Linked DNA regions of Rattus norvegicus. The protein of the gene in region 1 interacts with the protein of each later gene in a pairwise test. Links are inferred from orthologs where the notes say so. Each region holds a gene or a part of one and is shown in the gene's direction. Other genes may lie near its edges.

The links.
Region 2: the proteins of Atpaf2 (region 1) and Sorbs2 interact in binary tests that used the Homo sapiens proteins (3 or more experiments, as listed by UniProt). The two-hybrid records come from large-scale screens. The link is inferred for Rattus norvegicus from reciprocal best matches to the Homo sapiens genes ATPAF2 and SORBS2.
Region 3: the proteins of Atpaf2 (region 1) and Lzts2 interact in binary tests that used the Homo sapiens proteins (3 or more experiments, as listed by UniProt). The two-hybrid records come from large-scale screens. The link is inferred for Rattus norvegicus from reciprocal best matches to the Homo sapiens genes ATPAF2 and LZTS2.

The regions. Positions count from the first base shown.
Region 1 is NC_086028.1:45,710,205-45,714,395, reverse strand, and holds part of Atpaf2 (ATP synthase mitochondrial F1 complex assembly factor 2), read left to right. Parts: intron 1-1,108; exon of another isoform or gene 1,109-1,253; intron 1,254-1,471; coding exon 1,472-1,516; intron 1,517-1,683; coding exon 1,684-1,829; intron 1,830-3,571; coding exon 3,572-3,669; intron 3,670-4,191. UniProt on the Homo sapiens protein: Plays a role in the assembly of the F1 component of the mitochondrial ATP synthase (ATPase).
Region 2 is NC_086034.1:53,194,984-53,198,828, reverse strand, and holds part of Sorbs2 (sorbin and SH3 domain-containing protein 2), read left to right. Parts: intron 1-2,476; coding exon 2,477-2,568; intron 2,569-3,678; coding exon 3,679-3,725; intron 3,726-3,845. UniProt on the Homo sapiens protein: Adapter protein that plays a role in the assembling of signaling complexes, being a link between ABL kinases and actin cytoskeleton. Can form complex with ABL1 and CBL, thus promoting ubiquitination and degradation of ABL1.
Region 3 is NC_086019.1:253,834,754-253,838,114, forward strand, and holds the end of Lzts2 (leucine zipper putative tumor suppressor 2), read left to right. Parts: coding exon 1-6; intron 7-466; coding exon 467-724; intron 725-1,593; coding exon 1,594-2,277; 3' UTR 2,278-2,861; downstream 2,862-3,361. UniProt on the Homo sapiens protein: Negative regulator of katanin-mediated microtubule severing and release from the centrosome. Required for central spindle formation and the completion of cytokinesis.

The DNA.
Region 1 (4,191 bases):
CCACACATAAAGTAGGGAAATTTAACAGTGGCAGAAACTTACCTATTTTGTTGTAGAATGTATGCTATAGTAGAATGTTATTATAGTTTCAAATGACATAGTCAATTGTGTCATATTACCTCAGTGGCCAGAGCTGATAATTATTAGAATTATTCTTTTGCAATTTTATACATACATATTGTCTTAGTTGGTGTTCTATTGCTGTGAGGAGACATCATGACCAAAGCAGCTCTTACAAAAGAAGGTATTTAGTGGGAAGCTTGCTTATAGTTTTAAAGGGTTAGACCATTATCATGGTAGAAAGCACAGTGGCAGGCCTGGTGCTAGAGAAGTAGCTGAGAGCTACATCTTGAGAGACAGAGACAGGGCCTGCCATAAGCTTTGAAACCTCAAAGCCCACCCCAGGATCACACCTCCTTCACCAAGGCCTCACTTCCCAACCATTCTCAACAGTGCACCAACTAGACCCACCAAGCAGGCAGATACATGAATGAGCCTTTAGTGGCCAATCTTTGATAATGTGATAATATTCTTCTCCATTATTCTTCCATTCCCTTCCCCCTATACCCCCTTTTTCCAACAAGTTCCCCTCTTCCATGCCTCTTTTGGAGGTCTGATAACTTTATAAAAAATTTAAAGTGCATGAAGACAAAGATTTTTATGTCTTATTCATTATCAGACCCTTCCCAGTTTCCTCCCCCTGCCTTGCACACATAAGTTTCTCTAAGTTCTTGTAATTCTAACAAAGATATACAAAACAGATCGCCCTTTTTTTTTTTTTTGGTTCTTTTTTTCGGAGCTGGGGACCGAACCCAGGGCCTTGCGCTTCCTAGGTAAGTGCTCTACCACTGAGCTAAATCCCCAGCCCCCCAGATCGCCCTTCTTAAAGGAAGTATTTGGAGTTCCTGTTGAATACACGAGCTAGCTGGTTAATTAGATAAATGAATTAGAGAAGATGGGAAATGTTTTTGGTAGCTTTATTTTCTGCCTGTACATCACAAATTTACATTCATGTGTACATAAGCACACATTGGCTTCCTTCCTCAGAGGCATCTGCCTGAAAGGAGCCTCTGGTTCTATTCCATTCACAAACCAACTTTCCATTCAGGTCCATTGTGCTGGCCTGGGGGCAGCGCGCGTGGGCATACTGGCTGCTAAAGCAGGTGTTGGAAGTTCTCGGGTCACAGTCTGAGGCTCCACTGGCTCTTGATCAGAGTCGTCTCCCAGCTTGGATACTAGGAGAGGCATAACCAGTGAGTCCTGGTCTTCACTTGTCCCTGGAGTGTGGTTGTTCCCTTTTCCAAGCTTTAATCAGAAGCCGTTGATTATACTGCAGACCAGGGCAGACCTTGGATGGTGATATGAAAATGAAGCCAATCAATCAGCATTAGCAATAATGATACGAGTTGGTGTTGCCTTTGGAGGTCTCTTGATTCTATTTTAAATTGTCTTTGAAAAATCTGTCTTACAGAAAGGAAGAGGTTTTATCAGAATGTCAGCATCTCACAGGGTGAAGGTAAGTATCTGAAAATCTGATGGCCTTATTGTGAATGGTTGGGGTACACTTTTTGTCTCCAGCCAGATGATGGTGGCACTTTTGTCAGCGTTGTCTTTGTGTGCACCAAATACAGATATGGTCACTCGAATCCACATTCCCTGAGAACTTTCATTTGATCTTTTAAGGTGGCTTTGAGATAAACCTGGACCACAGAAAGCTGAAAACTCCCCAAGCCAAGCTTTTTACCGTCCCCAGCGAGGCCCTGGCTATTGCGGTGGCCACTGAATGGGACTCCCAGCAGGATACCATCAAGTTCTACACCATGCACCTGGTAACAAGCTTGTAGCAAGCAAATTTTTATCATACAAATTTCCATCTGATGCTCACCAAGCCTTCCTGGCAAAAATATACAGTTCCTTCCATATTATGACAAGACTCTGGGATAGACAAGGCTCCTATCTGCCTACCTGCAGCCATACTTAAACCATCTGTCACTGAACAGGCCAAGTTCTTTCCTTGCCTGGCCTGGCCACTTGTAGTTCGCTCTACTTGGAGCACTGGGCTGAGTAGTGTGTGACTGGTTTTTCCCCTGGTCTCTGGACAGAAGTCACCATTAATGACTCCTAGTTCTCCCCCTCCATCCCCTATCCCATTTTATCTTTGTTGTTTGGTTGATTTTGGTTTTTTGAGACAGAGTCTTGTGTCTTAGGCAGGCCTCAAACTTGATTTATAGCTGCAAATGACCTTGAACTTGTGCTTTTACGGCCTGAGTACTGAGATGACTCATGTGTCTCCATGTCCTGTTTATGCAGTGCTGAGGGTTGAGCCCAGGGTTTATGAATGCTAGGCAAACCCTCCATGTCTTAGCCACATCTCTCATCTTTATTTTATTTTTATTTTTATTTTTATCATTATCATTATTATTATTATTTTGAAACAGTTTGTTTTGTTTATATAGTTCTGGCTGTTTAGGAATTTGCTCGGTAGAACAGTCTGACCTTGAACTCACAGAAGTCTGCCTGCCTCTGCCTCCTAAGTACTGGGACCAAAGGTGTGTGCAGCCTCACCTGAGTGCAGCCTTTATTTCTCATTACAGATAATCATGTGCTGCATCACCACTGTAGCAGTCTGTTTCTATTTACATGTTTATTACCTGTGTCTTTCATAGCTTGGTTAGTGACAGAAGAGTAGTGGCCATGTCTTTTTCCTCAGTAGTTCCAGTTGCAAGTATACCTGAATCTCACTGAACATTGGTGGGGTACGGGACCCAGGCACCAGATGGGTGAGGAAAGGAGGATGAAGCCCTCCTCAGCCTTACAGAATGGTCACCCTTCCTTAGCCCCATGGTCCCCGCTGTACTGCCCACCTTATTGTGCCATGGGTGGTCAGATGATAACAGTGCATGCAGCCCTCATGTGGTTCTAAGGAAGGCACCAGCTAGTACTGGGGCTAGGTGTTCTCGTCATACTCACTGCAGACCCAGATGGGCCTAACAGCATAGTCTATTTCTTGACTATCTAGTGTAATCAGGGTGACAAGGCCACAAACTGAGGCCTAGAGCAGCCTTAGGAACCTCTTATTGATGAGGTAACACTAAGGAAATATCTTGATCCCAGTTCAATCTGCTGACTTGTTTTCTGAAGTGTCCAACAAGCTGGTAAAGCTCTCAGTTATTTTGAGTTTCATGCCTTTATTGTATTTGAGTATGTATTTTACCTCTATGGGCCTCAATTTTCACATTTCTGTAAAAGGTAGAATAGTAGCATCTGCCCCAAAGCATTGTTATGCAGGTTAACCTGATAGTCGTGAATATGAAAATACATAAAGCCCTGAAACTTTGAGAAAGTTCCCTACTCTAAGAAAGACCACTGTGAGAGTCTAGTGAACCCCATGAGCACAGTAGAGTTTGAAGACGGAGCCTGGTTTTCAGATCCCCCAGCAGATAAGCTGCTGCTGTGGCTGTGATGATAGCGGTAATGCATGGCTCTGTTGTGCTGTCAGATGTGTCAGATCCAGTGTATGCACACCTGAACCCCACAGGTGAGTGACAGCATTTTCTACCTTTCTATCAAGACCACATTGTGCAATACATCCTTGGACAACCCAACCCAGCGAAACAAAGATCAGCTGATCCGGGCAGCTGTGAAGTTTCTAGACACGGACACCATCTGGTAAGTGGCATTAGATGAACAGTCCTCTTGGGTGGTGTGAACTTCTTAGTCTATTTTGTTTCATTTGTCCAAAGCATATCGGTGGGGAGAAAGCAAGGCCTTTGTCATTATTTTGCAAGAGGGCAAGAAGGTAGCCCACTTGATATGACTGAACCACAGGAGGAAGACTTCTCAGTCTGTTCTAGCACAGGGTACCCCTTGGACTGAGCTGAGTTGCCATAGAGACGTATGCCATTTCCACAGGCTCCAGAACTATAGGACCCATTGGCCAACCCCCAGCAGCACATCTGGCCCTTAATGTGTTCATGTATTAGCATCCCTGTCATTACAGGTGGCAGTAGTCAGGGGCTGGTCTCTCCCAATTCTGAATTCTCCCCTGTGTCTATTTGCTTGTTGGAGAGTGATATTAAAGGAACATCTGAATGATTGTGCAGCACTGGGCCTGTTGGCCCTTTACTCAGGGGCTTTGAGTCACCCCAGGGATTCCTTGGGATGCTAGCATAGGTACTCTGGAAGGGAGGG
Region 2 (3,845 bases), on another chromosome or scaffold:
TTAAAAAAAAATAACAAGACAAAAACCATAATTCAATATACATATCCCTAAGATATATTTGGGCTCATTATGAATCAAAGCCAGTAGTTTCACAGACTTTTCTTTGATTTCTATATTAACATTAGAACTCTGTACTTATGACTCAAAGAAGTTCGTCCCCACGAGTTATTCCATAGCTCCCTCCATTTAAAGGACACAATTAAAAAACTTAAATAAGAAATTTTTAAAAAGGGACACAATTTGGATGGAATTATGCGAATGTATCTTTAAGACGTAGATATGATTTCTATCATTCAAGGATTTCATTTTTTTTCTTTCTATTACTTGATTTTTCTTGCTATTTCTGTTAGGATGATCTTATACCAAAATGTGGATTGGATTACGTTAAACATGAGTCTTGAGTAAGTCCATTTCCACGGTGAGCACAAAGGTTAGAAGGCAAATGGCAGTTCTAATCAGAGTTAACTGAAGTTAATATAGCTTTAAAACACTGTGCTTTGATACTTTTATCTAATTCTCAAGTGAATCTGTGTAAGACCAACATGTCATGAGGCTAGAGTAATACTCCAGACCTGGCCGGGGGCTGTCAGTGGAGAGCGTTGCACACTAGCTCTGTAGAGAGCTGTAGCCGATGCATTGAAACCAACCTAAGTCGATGGGTTCGTATGAGTGTAAGGGCTGTTTTACCATCGAGAAATGAAGGGCAAAGAGGATAAAGTTTCTCCATATGACTCAGATTACAGTAACAGCAAGAGAATTCAAAGCCCTATTAACTAAAAAATATGTGATGTAAAATATAATTTCTAATGACAAAAAAACCCAAAATTGTTAATAATAGCTGGACAATTTTACTTATTGGTATTTACCTTCACTTTAACTTATACTGTACAACATGCTGGAACACAATAAATTAAAATAAACAGGGCTGAGGAGATGGCTCAGTGGTTAAGAGTCCTTGCTTATCTTCCGGAGGGCCCAGGTTCAATTCCCAGTATGCACAACTTAGAACTGTCTATAACTCCAATCCCAGGCAAAGACTGCCATCAAAGACACTGCGCACACACATACATGCAGATAAAAGCCCACACACAAAATGATATATTACAAAAGGATAGAATAGATAGAATAATAATTTACTAATATTAATAGTATACCTTTAATTGACTTGATAAATAATAAATTTCAAATTAAAAAATTAGAATTTGAAATCACTAATTAATTAATTAATCACTAATTAAGACTGAAACAAGTTGTAATCCAATTTTTTAACTACCATCTTCAATTTTCTGATACCCTGATATATAGTACATTATCAAAACGTGAGTTAGAAGCATTGAAAAATATATTGTATGTAAATAAAAATTATCTTGATGATTTGTAGTATTCAACATATTTACATGCTAAAGTGAGAAAATGTTTTTTTAAACACTGACCCAGTTACGCAAGTAAAATTCTGTGATGCTGCCAGACTCTTTTATACCTTTAGTTACATCCCGCATGCAAATCACACAACTATGTTAGGTTAAAGAAACTGAGAGGGAGACTTGCAGTCACCATTTTTAAATGTAACTCTTTATAATTTGCTTTAGTGAGGACAAGGCCTCACTATTTCATAAGCAATTTGGAAATTTCATATGAGGCTTGTTTTAAATATATAAATATTTTACTTTCTGATTGGTTGAACACTCATGTACAAGGGAAAGTCATAAAAGATATGGAATCTTAAGGCCCAATAAGTATGTACAAACAGTCACACCCATAGACACACACATAGGCATGTACACACACATGCATATGCACGTGGATGCATCCAAACACACACATACAGGCATGTACACACACTCACACACTCACATATGCACACACATACATGCGCACACACATACATGCATACACACATACATGGATATATACACAAGCACACACTCACATGCACATACATGTGCATACATATGTACACACATACATGCATGCAAGCACAAGCACACACACACACACACACACACACTCTGGGTGGGGTATGACTGTAGTCCTGTCATGTTCATACTTTATCTTTCTTTCATCATCACCTCTTAGATTGGATTTCACAAACATTTCTTTCTAGAAATGTGTCATTTCTGCATCTCATAATAATTATATATTGGAACCAAAAAGAATAGAAATATTAACCATGAAAAATTTGGAGCATGAAAATCCCTATAACAAATCATCTACGCCAAGGATTGCAGTATAATTAATTGGCAATATAACATTTTATATATGATTAGAATACTTGTTATTTGTATATTTCTTCATTTTCAATGTGTGTGTCTTACATCATTACTTTACAGTTACGTATGAGTTTTACATCCGTGTTCTCATCAGCGACATTTCTCCATATTTGGGGGTAAAATGATTGCCACCAGGGAAAGTGGCTAGCCAGTTTCCTTTCAGTGAAGTGAAATCTCATTCCCGTTCCCCTTGTCCTTTCCAACAGATCACGAGTCCCCTAGAAGTTACTCGTCTACTCTGACTGACTTGGGAAGAAGTGTATCACGGGAACGAAGAGGAACTCCAGAAAAAGAGGTAGTAAGTTGAACAGCATTAGAGTGTTTTTAAAGGACCTTCTGAGAAAGCACTTACTAGCCAGTTAAGTACCTCAAACCTGTAAATAATTGAGCCCAAAACCAGACAGTCACAAGAGCCTAGAAGCAGTTCTGCTTAGAGGCTGAGTCTAGGGCCCACACTCCCCTCACTTCCTCTTTGGAATGCACTTTGGGCAGTGAGCCCTTTCTCAGTCTTGACCTGGTACTCATGAACGAATAGAATTCTAATCGGCTTGCTTTGTGTAGGGCAAGTGACCTATACAAGTACTTTTGTTGGAGAATTCTTCTGAAAGCAGACACAGATTTTTATCAATCAAGTTCTTGTAGCATTAAGAAGTTTTTATGCACCAGTGACTCCTGCTTCCTCACACTTAACCAGAGCTAGAATGCCTATGCCTTGGAAACCACGAGGGCTTTGACTGACAGCTCCTGGGATAGCCTTGGGACCCTTATGGAATCAGAATTTCTCCAAGTTTCTTGATGCTCACTAGAATCACAGGGGAAGAAAAATGGAGTGAAGGAATTACTGATTGGCAGGAAGGGAAGGACTGATGTCACTAACTACGTGGTACATTGTGCCTCAACTAGACTGATGGCCCAAGAGTTTGAGGGCAGGCATGGGTATTGCCTCATAACTAAAAGATAAGTCAAAGGATTCCTCAACCCTGCATTCCTATATGTTTGGCTAACCTCTTGGTAACTGGGCTATTTCCTGGATAGTCAGTATTTAGTGAAGACTATAACTTCCTTTGTGTGTTTTGTTTCTTATGACGCAGGCAGACTAGTGTCAATCCATAGAAGTTAGCTAGCCCCCCACAGCTGTCTATCTGTGTATTCAAAAATGGCACACGTAGGACAGACTGCTTCCTGGGTATTTTCTTGTATTGCAGCATTAATCTACTTTAGTTCCTAAACCGAAGCCTGATGATAAAACCAGCTATGTCCTGGTTTAGCTCAGTGCTCTGTGGGTAGCACTAAATGATACATCTGTAACTTGTGCATCTTACTTCAGTTACATGTGGTTTAGAGTCCTTATGTGAAATCTTATTTTTTTTTAAATTGGTGCGAAATGTTTGTTTACCTTTCTTTCCAGAAATTGCCTGCAAAAGCTGTCTATGATTTCAAAGCTCAGACTTCTAAGTAAGTAGAATAAAAATTCACTATGTGTTTGAACCTCATATTTACTACTGTTGTGAGGTGTGTGTGTGTGTGTGTGTGTGTGTGTGTGAATGAGTGTGTTACAAATAAGATTCAATGTTC
Region 3 (3,361 bases), on another chromosome or scaffold:
TGTCAGGTGCGGCCAGTGGCAGTCCTGGGGCGGTGTGGCTGAATACCCAGGGCCTAGGGACAATTCCTGTTGGGGAGGAAGAGGGTAAAGACTCATGATGTGACACCCCCAAGGCTATGAGCATAACCTTCAAAGCAGTGAGGAGGCAAGGTATGTGAATTGGATCCAGCACTGGCTTGTAGGATGTTAGATTTGAGCAAGTTGCTTAACCTCACCCAGCCCCAGTTTCCCTGTCTAAATGGGGATAGCTGTTACTCCCTAAAGGGGTTATGAAGATTAAATAAGACGAAAGGGATAAAGTACTTAGAATAATGCCTGTCACCTAGGAAATGCCATATAAGTGCCTGCTTTTATGGTTGTCCTAATTCACTGGATTCAGGCCAGGCAGGGAGCCACCCAAGCAGAAGATGCTAGAACTCACGATTTGGGGGGACCCAACCGTTTCTAGCCTTCTGTCTTTGTCTAGGCATTCGGGGCACGGCAGCGGCGCTGGCCAGGAGAACGAGAGGACTGTGCCTCTCACGCACAGCAGGCCACACAGCGTGTCCAGCGGGCTCAACAGCTGCTACAACTGCAAGTGTTCCAGCTGCAGCAAGAGAAGCGCCAGTTGCAGGATGACTTCGCCCAGCTGCTGCAGGAGCGAGAGCAGCTGGAGCGCCGCTGTGCTACTTTTGAAAGGGAGCAGCAGGAACTTGGGCCACGGCTAGAGGAGACCAAATGGGAGGTATGCAAGATGGGCACTGGGTGGGCTGGAGGGATGGCTCAACGCTTAAGAGCACTGACTGCTCTTCCAGAGGTCCTGAGTTCAATTCCCAGCAACCACATGGTGGCTCACAACCATCTGTAAACTTCTGGTGTGTCTGAAGACAGCTACAATGTTCTGATATACATAAAAAATAAATATATTAAAAATAAAGATGGGTACTGGGCAGGCTGAAGGGGTTACACTAAGATACACAGAGGTGTGGCCAGTGTTTAGCTACCTTCCAGGGTCTGTCCTTCCTATTCTTTCTGTGTTGGGGGTTTCCCTGTTCCTCTGTTGTTCTCAGAGTTGTGATCTAGCACCCACATAGCTAGTGGTGTTTCCTTCTATGATAGATGGGTACTGTTAATCCCTCTGTTTCCACTCCTGCAGCCTCCGTCTCCAGGCCTGGGCCTTGTTTATACAGCATCTGGTATAAGGATCCCAGCACTGAAAAGAAATGACCTGGGTCTCTGTTCCCCTATCACCTCTTTTTTTTTTTTTTTTTAACATTTATTTATTATGTATAGTCATACAGCTTTCTACCTGCATGTATGCCTGCAGGCCAGAAGAGGGCACCAGACCTGATTATAGATGGTTATGAGCCACCATGTGGTTGCTGGGAATTGAACTCAGGACCTCTGGAAGAGCAGACAGTGCTCTTAACCTCTGAGCCATCTCTCCAGCCCCCCCCCCCCTTTCACCTCTTAATAGAAGTATAACCATGGACGTATCACTAGGCTCTCCTGCTGGGCTTCTGTGTGTAAACTCCTGAGACAGCATTTCCTTGAATGCCCGGTGCCCAACACCCAGAGGCCTCACCATCTTCCCTCAATACTTTTCACCTACAGGTGTGTCAGAAATCAGGTGAGATCTCCCTTCTGAAGCAGCAACTGAAGGAATCTCAGGCAGAGCTGGTCCAGAAGGGTAGTGAGCTGGTGGCGCTGCGGGTGGCCCTTCGAGAGGCCCGGGCTGCCTTGCGGGTCAGTGAGGGCCGTGCCCGGGGCCTGCAGGAGGCAGCCCGAGCTCGGGAGCTGGAGCTGGAGGCCTGCTCACAGGAGCTACAGCGGTACCGCCAGGAGGCTGAGCAGCTCCGGGAGAAGGCTAGGCATTTGGATGCTGAAGCAGCAGGACTCCGGGAGCCCCCTGTACCCCCGGCTACCACCGACCCGTTCCTCCTGGCGGAGAGTGATGAGGCTAAGGTGCAGCGGGCAGCCGCTGGGACAGGGGGTAGCCTGCGGGCTCAGGTGGAACGGTTGCGCCAAGAACTGCAGCGGGAGCAGCGGCGGGGAGATGAACAACGGAACAGCTTTGAGGGGGAGCGGCTGGCCTGGCAGGCGGAGAAGGAACAGGTGATCCGCTACCAGAAGCAGCTGCAGCACAACTATGTCCAGATGTACCGGCGTAACCGACAGCTGGAGCAGGAACTGCAGCAACTGAGCCTAGAGCTGGAGGCCCGGGAGCTTGCTGATTTGGGCTTGTCGGAGCCGGCCCCTTGCATCTGTCTGGAGGAGATCACTGCCACTGAAATCTAGGACTTTGCAAGGGGTGCGAGCCACCGCACCACCTGCACCGGGATCCATCGAGCAAGCGCTCCAGGTCTCAGAGCCAAAAGGCCTCTGCCGAGCATTCGGGTGGCCCCATAACTTGGAGAAGCAGAATCAACCCCCCTGCAGTTCAGTGTCACTGTCACCCAGAGGCTCCTGCCTACGCTGCCATTTCACTCCCCACCGCCGCCACTGCCAGTCCACTCCAGCTGGGAAAGGAAAGGGGGCTAACCTGTCCCCACATTCTACCTGCCTGAAGCCAGAGAGAACCAGATGGCACCAGCTGCCCCAGATGTGCCTGCCCTCAATATGCCCACGTGGAGGGGCGGGACTAGGAATGGGGCTGATCCCCATGTCCCAGCTCCGCAAGCCTCTTGTGGGCTGAGGGGGCTGAAGTCAGACCAAAGGAAGAACTCAGCAATGTCTTGTTTATTTGTGTTCGTGACCAAGCCGCCCTCCCTAGTTCCAGGGTTATGGCCTCGTTCCCACTTGTATATTTTTCACACTGTAAATTTCTTGTACAAACCCAAAGGGGAAAAAAATTAAAAAAAAAAAGTTTTGTTAAAAAAAAAGGCTTGATGGATAAACTCTAGGGGAATTTGTTTGACATCCTGTCTCCTCTGCTTGCTGGCTACCCACCTACCTGTGATGGAGTTCTTAGGACTAATCCAGTAGGAATCCCGGGCCCTGGTGGACGACACCATGAGTCGTGAGGAACTAGAAAAGCCTTTCCTTCTGTCCTTTGCACTGAACACTGCTTGAGGCTGGGGGATGAATGCAGTGACCTTGACGACTCAGTTTAAGCCCCTCAGATTATGGTGAGCCAGGTCCATCGTGAAAAACCTCACACCAGTTACAGGCTTCAGACTTGAGTGTCTGTCTCCTCACTGGGAGGCAGTTCCAGGATTAGGGAATGCAACTGGCTTAGGTTGCCCACTAGTACACCTTGTAATTGGATATCCAGCTTATCTTGAAAGGCCAGAGCCCTTTTGACAGCCCAGTGGATCAGAGCCACCCAAGTATGGCAGTGCTCTCGGTGGTCAAATGGATAGGACAGGTATATGGAACCTGG